2 linked regions of the Macaca fascicularis genome follow. The protein of the gene in region 1 purifies or fractionates together with the protein of each later gene. This does not show direct contact. Links are inferred from orthologs where the notes say so. Each region holds a gene or a part of one and is shown in the gene's direction. Other genes may lie near its edges.

Evidence for each region.
Region 2: the proteins of SUPT7L (region 1) and USP22 purify together in Homo sapiens (affinity purification with mass spectrometry; 3 studies listed by BioGRID and IntAct, with this or other methods). This does not show direct contact. The link is inferred for Macaca fascicularis from reciprocal best matches to the Homo sapiens genes SUPT7L and USP22.

What each region holds. Positions count from the first base shown.
Region 1 is NC_088387.1:94,570,336-94,574,498, forward strand, and holds the start of SUPT7L (STAGA complex 65 subunit gamma), read left to right. Parts: upstream 1-1,355; 5' UTR 1,356-1,671; intron 1,672-2,713; 5' UTR 2,714-2,802; coding exon 2,803-2,816; intron 2,817-3,396; exon of another isoform or gene 3,397-3,601; coding exon of another isoform or gene 3,602-3,609; coding exon 3,610-4,014; intron 4,015-4,163. Other genes in the region: SLC4A1AP (kanadaptin), read right to left, coding at 421-1,083.
Region 2 is NC_088390.1:20,414,783-20,418,434, reverse strand, and holds part of USP22 (ubiquitin carboxyl-terminal hydrolase 22), read left to right. Parts: intron 1-822; coding exon 823-949; intron 950-1,836; coding exon 1,837-1,928; intron 1,929-3,652. UniProt on the Homo sapiens protein: Deubiquitinase that plays a role in several cellular processes including transcriptional regulation, cell cycle progression or innate immunity.

The sequences.
Region 1 (4,163 bases):
AGGTGATCCTCCCATCTCAGCCTCCCAAGTAGCTGGGACCATGATGCCTGGCTAATTAATTTTTTTTTTTTTTTTTTTCAGAGACAGGGTCTTGCCATGTTGCCCAGCCTCCTCTCAAACTCCTGGGGTAAAGCGATCCTCCCGCCTGGGCCTCCCAAAGTGTTGGGATTACAGGCGCGTGCCACCGCACCTGGCCAAAAATCAAACAAACAAAAAAAACTATTTTAGAGTTCGGGATTGTGAACATGACTTTCATAAATACGGCAATGTGTACAGCACTCTGGAGATGATAGGCCAGACTTGATTCCTTCACTTTTGTAATCGCTGAATGGGAGATTCTTCTTCCTCATCAAAAGCTTAAGAAGCACAAGAACGCAGCCCAATGAGCCCGAGATTTCAATTCTAGGTTTTTCTACCTACCTGCAGGATAAAGAGCCGGGTGCTGCCTCCGAAGCGAACAACATGTCCAACGTGGACTCGACAGTAGGTGCGAGGTGGGATGCGAGTTTTGTTGAGAAAAGTGCCATGGGTGCTTCCCAGATCGTAGAGGTAGAAGCCCGGCCCGTTGCTGTCGCATTCTCCGTCAGGGCCGGACGCCCTGTGCTGCAGTACTGCGTGGTACCGAGACACCGAAGGGTGCTCCAAGCACACGTCGCAGCCAGACAGCCTCCCGAAAAGGCAGTAACTCGTCCCTTTCAAGCTACGGGTGCCAAGGATAGCGCCGCCCTTCAGGATCTCTAAGCTGTAGGGGGCTGTGGCAGGGCCACCCCATGGAGGCTCCTGGTAGGGGGGAGCCCGGGCTGGACCGCCAGAGGAAGAAACCGCTGTCGGGGGGCGCGACTGCTCCTCCTGTAGACTCCTAAAATCCCCGCAGTCCGGCTGAGGAGGAGGGACGTCGGGCTCCCCAGAACTGGGGTCCTGCAACGCAGTGGGCCCTTCCTTCTGCACCTCCTCAGGGTTTGAAGAACTGGTGGCCGGGGCCTTACTCCGCGCCGCTGCGGGCACCAGCAGAGCTGGCTTCTTGAAGTCCCCACTGAGCTCTTGCGATGCCAGCGGCTCTGACTGAGAGAGAAAGTCAGCCATCCTCAATCAGTGCAACCTCGAAATCCGCTCCTTCGAAACCTCACCCTTCGGTCTTTACGTTCCTGTACACGTCCCACTCTCCCAAGCTCCCAGTGGCGTCTGCAGGCGGCGGTGGTGAAGTTGCTCCTTCACGACCTAGAGAGTTGCAAATTGGTGCTAACGCGAGAAGGTCATAATACGAGAAAAAACGGTTATCGGGATGCTGTGCAGAACGGGGACATCTTTAGAGGTTACAACGAGATCGTAATGACTTCCTGTTGCATAGCTTGAGTGAGAAGAAGCGCTTCCGGCGGTCTTAGCTCACTAATCAACAAACCAGCTTTTGGGGCTTGACGCGACCCTTGCCTCAGGCCTCTCGGGGTCCAGACAGCCGCCCAGCCCGCTCTGTGAGGCAGCAGTGAGTAGTGTGGTACCTCCTTGTCTCGGTTCAGGTCCAGACCTCCCCTTTTTCCGGCTGCTCTGGACAGCAGGCGACCTCAGGACCCTCTGATAGGCGCCTGCGCCGGCGGACCGTGACCGAGAAAACCCCTGGAGGGACTTGGGCATTCCTTGGGCTCAGTGCCTGTTCTTCCTGCTCCTTTCGGTAAAGTAAGGGAAGAGGGCGACTTTTTTTTTTTTTTATTTCGTTCATTCATTTATTTTTTTCTGAAATTAATTATTAAGGCAGAATAGTTTAGTGGTTAAGAGTGCAGACTCTGGAGACTCGATTTTCGACCTCGCCATTTGTGACATTGGGCAAGACACTAGGCCTCAGCCCTCACTCTGAAAAATGGGGATAAGATTATTAGCTTCATAGGGTTGTTGGAAGAATTGAATTAAACAATAAATGTCAGCCGGAACGGTGGCTCATGCCTGTAATCCCAACATTTCGGGAGGCTGAGGCGGGAGGGTTGCTTGAGCCCAGGAGTTCCAGAGGGGCCCTCTGGGCAACATGGCGAGACCCTGTCTCGCCAAAAAAAAAAAAAAAGATACTGGCGCACGGCTGTAGTCCCAGCTACTCCAGAGGCTGAGATGGGAGAATTTCTTGGGCCCAGGAGATTGAGGCTGCAGTGAACTACGATTGTACCACTGCACTCCAGCCTGGGCTACAGAGTGAGACCCTGTCTCAAAAAAGAAACAAACAAAAAAGGTGAAGTCTGGTATATAGTAAACATTCAACAAATGCCAGATAGATATTTCTCTGTGCCTGGCCCTGTAACAAGACCATGGCCATAAGAAATAGATGGGAGGAAAAAATCTACTGTGATAAGTACTAATTAAAATCCAAAGATAAATGCTGTGACGTAGACATGCAAAGCACTGTGAGAATAGAGAAAGGGAGATGCACTGGGGAAATGACGGAGGGTGGGGACTTATGCTTTACTTAAAAATGAATATGAGTCTGCCAGGGATGTGCAGGGTTGGCAGAGCATTTCTGGCAGAGTTCACAGCTGGAAGTGTCAACTGTGGAAATGGACAGCATTCTCAAGAAACTGAGTAGTATAACGTTGTTAGAACAAAGGTAGTCATTTCACCCAGGGAGTTCCTCCTTTGTGCTTCCACTACCCCAGGTCCATATACCTCTAGAACAGTACTTACCACGTACTTTCATATTGAAATATTCTGCTTCTGTTTCTCTTCCTCACCTCAGGGCAAGGATCTCACATTATCAGTCTTTGACCCGCACAGAATGCCAGGCATTTGATAAATGTTTGTTGAACTTGAAGAGACATATGGACAATGAATCTGCAAAGGTGAGTTGAAACCAGATTGTGAATTTTGTTGAATCATAAGCCAAGGAATTCTGACTTTTTCCAGTAGGCAATGGGAAGCCATTAGATTTAAGTTTTAAAAAGAGTAAGTCTAGCAGCAGTGTAGAGAATAGATTACATACAAAGAGAGATTGGAGGAAGGGATACCAATTAGGAGGCAGCAGAAATCTCTCACATTCCTCACATTCTATATTGCAAAAGTTGAAAGCATAATGCCATTTATATTAGTGGTTCATAAATTTTTCCAGCAGGACCATGCCTAAGATACACATAATAAGAACTACTTCTTACTATCTTTAACGCTACTTGCTTTTCTCCTATTGATCCAGCACAGATGTATCAAGATACTTTATCAGGCCTTGCTTATTGTTCAGGATTGAGCATGATGGTAGTTCTGGTAATGAGTTCGTGAGTGAGATGGAAATAGGGATACTAGAGCTCCAGATGCTGTTGTAGCTATTGGTCTACTAATGACCCAAATTCTACCCTGTGGTTCAGTGTAGTAGGAATTGTCATAGCATGACAATAACCAGCATCTAACAGTTACATTTCTCTTGTTTAGGGAGAACATCTTTGGTCCTACAGTTTTGCTGACACTGACATTTTTCTAAGTGGTCACAAATAGCCTGCTGTTTACATAAATAACTGGCTAGACCTCGTATTTTTCACTACAGAAGCCTATAATCTAAAGTTGCCAGGATTTAAACACATTACTTTTAGGTTATCATCTACAATTATCCTGAGACCTCTTCTCTTCTTATTCCAAAATGTTGAGATACTGGGGAGAGATACCAATATCATCAAGCCAGACCAACAGAAGTTCCTTTGATTTGCTCCCACGGGAGTTCCGTCTGGTGGAAGTCCATGACCCACCCCTGCACCAACCCTCAGCCAACAAGCCGAAGCCCCCCACTATGCTGGACATCCCCTCAGAGCCATGTAGTCTCACCATCCATACGATTCAGTTGATTCAGCACAACCGACGACTTCGCAACCTTATTGCCACAGCGCAGGCCCAGAATCAGCAGCAGACAGAAGGTGTAAAAACTGAAGAGAGTGAACCTCTTCCCTCGTGCCCTGGGTCACCTCCTCTCCCTGATGACCTCCTGCCTTTAGATTGTAAAAATCCCAATGCACCATTCCAGATCCGGCACAGTGACCCAGAGAGTGACTTTTATCGGTAAGGCAAGGCTTTGCTGTATCTTACTTTTCTCAAGTCATCTTCCCAACAACCCTGTTAAGCTTGTAATAGCATTTCCATTTCCACGCGAGGAAAATGAGGATAAGAGTAATTGACTTGGCCAAGGTTTCTCAGGTAATTAGTGAGAT
Region 2 (3,652 bases), on another chromosome or scaffold:
ACAGGCGTGAGCCGCCGCACCTGGCCAGCCTCTACATTAAACTGCTTGTGTTGAGATCACATACAGTTGTAAGAAGCCATTAGGTACCCTTTACTCTGGTCCCCCAATGGTGACCTCCTCAGCCCTGTGGTGCGATGCCCCGGCCAGGATTCAGACATTTATACAGAAAGTACCCAGCATCTCCATTGCCTCCCTGCCCACCACCCGCTCCGTAACCCCAGTCACCCCGTACTTCTCCATTTCCATACACCTGATAATTCCAGAATGTCATGTCAGCCGAATCATGTAACAGGGAACCCTTTGAGATTGGCTTTTCTTGTGCATCCTAATTCTCTGGGGATGCATCCAGGGTGCAGCTTGGGATCAGTAGTCCTTTCCTTTTTTGCTGCTGACTCATATTCCATGGTACAGTGTTCCACAGTTTCTTTAATTATTCACCCATGGGAAGACGCGAGGTGTTTCCAGTTTTGTGACTCTTACGAGTAACACTCTGGTACACGTTTGTGGACAGTTTTTGTGTGAACGTTAGTTTTCATTTTTCTGGCTTAAATTCAACTGCTGGGCCATGTGGTAGTTAGAAAATTGTTACCATTCCCCTAGGCCTATCCTGGAAATAAAATATTTAAGATAAATGTTCTTTAAAGAGACAGGCAGCGAAGGTGGACAACATTTTCTCTTTTTTTCATTGTTTCATTTTTAGTTGTATGTGTATGTTTTTGGTAGGGAAATGAACCCATTGAAAGAGATAAAATACCTCTTTCCTCCCATTTTTCTGTCTCTTACATCTCCCTTACTGCTTCTGTCTTCTTTAAACGCCTGTAGATTCACCAGACCAGAGCACTTGGGCAGCAGCGCCAAGATCAAATGCAGCGGTTGCCATAGCTACCAGGAGTCCACGAAGCAGCTCACTATGAAGAAACTGCCCATCGTAGCCTGTTTTCATCTCAAAGTAAGTTTTCCAGAAAGCCAACTCTAATGGCAGACTTAGTTTTTAGTCCACAGTACGGCCCTCAGCCTTTTGGTTTGCTGTGCCGTTGCATTTTTCATAACTGCAGCAAGCAGGAAGAACACCTAGGAAGGGTGGATGTGAGTGAATTGTCCTCCTGTCTGTGAATTGTCCTTTTGTCTGTGCTGCGGTAAACAAAATCAGTGGCTTCACAGTGAAAGTAGGATGAGAGTTACTTTTCTTGGGAAGCGGAGTGGTTGTGACTTTTTTTTACTTCTGCCATTCCTCCAGCTACCCCTCCTCTGGTTTTCTGTTTTCTTTTAAGACAAAGGCCCTCAGCATTCAGATCTGGTCCAGGAGTCGTCAAGCTCTTTCTCTGAAGGCCCGGATCGTAAAGATGTCAGGCTCCACAGGCTGCGTGCGATCCTACGATTCTCTGTTGCATGTTCTTTGTTTCATTTTACCACCCTTTAAACATGGAAAGCACCCATTCCTAGCTTGCTGGCTGGAATGGGTGACTCCTGATCTAGGCAAAGGAATGTCTTCTGTCTGGTGAAAGGAACAATTTGCTTGTTTTTGCTGCCACGAGCCATGGATCTTTGTTTTGTTTTCTGTGCTTTGCTGGGTTTGCTGTGAGATTACTTCTTGTACCCTTGGTGTTACCACTGAACAGTCCCATCATTTGAAGACTTGACTTGAACCCTGTACATGAGGACTTGGGTGGATTACCATTATGTTTTTGAATCTGTAATTCTAGCTGTAGCTACAAGGCAATTCAATAAAATACAAAGAGATACACAGACACCTGTCATTGGAAGAAGCCCCTGAAGCTTCCAGTGACATTTCTGGTCTTCTTTCCTCTTCCCTCTGCCCCTTTCCTATTTCTGCAGCGATTTGAACACTCAGCCAAGCTGCGGCGGAAGATCACCACGTATGTGTCCTTCCCCCTGGAGCTGGATATGACCCCTTTCATGGCCTCCAGGTAGGTGGGGGTGTAGGCCCGTTCTGTGTCCGGAGGGGCTGTGATCTTATCAGGACAGGAATGCAGCTCGGATCTCCTATGGTAAGATGACTGTTGGCGGGTGCGGTGGCTCCCGCCTGTAATCCCAGCACTTCAGGAGGCCGAGGAGGGCAGATCACAAGGTCAAGAGATTGAGACCATCATGGCCAACATGGTGAAACCCCGTCTCCACTGAAAATAGAAAAATTAGCTGGATGTGGTGGCAGGCGCCTGTAGTCCCAGCTACTTGGGAGGCCAAGGCAGGAGAAACGCTTAAACCTGGGAGGTGGAGGTTGCAGTGAGCCAAGATCGCGCCACTGTACTCCAGCCTGGTGACAGAATGAGACTCCATCTCAAAAAAAAAAAAAGATGTCTGTTGATATTAATATAAACCCCACCTTCCCAAAATTTATTTATCCTGATCTTAAGATATGGCACATGTTAATGAGTGGTTTTTCATCAGATACTCTGTTTTTGTTTTGAATGTTTCTCTTAACAATTCTCAATCCACTTTCAAACCGGCAAAGTCCTCGAGGTAGGATCACAGCGAGAAGGCAGCACTTCAATTCATGGAACAGATGTTGAAGTTTGCAGCTGTAGCTTGCATTTTCCTTTCCACATCTGCCTACTATGGGGCACTTGGCATTGAGCTGCTTACCAATGCATGAGACAAATAGGAGTTTCCTGTGGCTCTGTGACAAATGACCAAAAACTTGGTGGCTTAAAATTAAATTTCCTCACAGTTCTAGAGGTCGGAAATCTGAAATCAAGGTGTTGTCAGGGCCCCATGGTCCTACAGGGGTCTGGGGGATTCCATTCCTCAGCGCCTCCAGCTGCCAGTGTTTCCACGTGTTCCTTCTGTGGCTGCGCCACTCCCCTCATTTCTGGGTCACGTGGCCAGCTCCCCTGAGTCTGTGTCCAGTTCCCTCTGCTTCTCTGTCATGACAGTGGTCACTGGCTTTAGGGCCCAGGCAGATCATCCAGGAGGATCTTATCTCAACATCTTTACTTCGAGTCTCTGCAAAGACTGGTTTTACAAATGAGGTCCCAGTCTCAGGTTCTGAGGGTCGAGACGTGGGTATTGTTATTTGCAGGGTGTTATTTTTTGGCGGCCACAGTCCCGGCCCCAGCACCGTGGAAAGCATGTTGCCTTTTGGTAGTTACTGGCCTGTCCCACCGCTGTAGCACACAGCTGACCTCCTGAATAAAACAAGACCACCAGAGTCAGAGCTTCATGCCATCAGCCTGACCACGATGGTCACGTACTGAGGGAGGTGACGGTACTGTTCTAAGGTCAGGGTCTCAAAGATCTTAGTGTTTCCTGCCAAACACAGCCGTGGGAAAATGCAGTAAACAATGCTCATGGCTTCCTCTTCCCAGCACCGCCTCTCCCCTGTCTCACTAGGAGAGGTGCTGGTCATGAAACAATGAGCAGCAATCTTTGTCCCTTTTGAGGAGGCACCTGCCTAGGTTGTGAAATGGATTCAGCTTACCCTTTCATGCTAACCCTTTACATGTGGGAGGAAGGGCGCCTTCACCATCTACTTTGTCACAAACCAAACTCAGATTCCTCCAGATCCAGCTCCCATTACCAGCCCTATTCAGGACCCATCTTGGAAGAACCAGGGGCCACACCAGGTGGCCCCAGGACCCAGGTGTGCTCTGAGGCAGAGGCCTCCACAGCTCGAGTGTCAGTGTCCTCACGA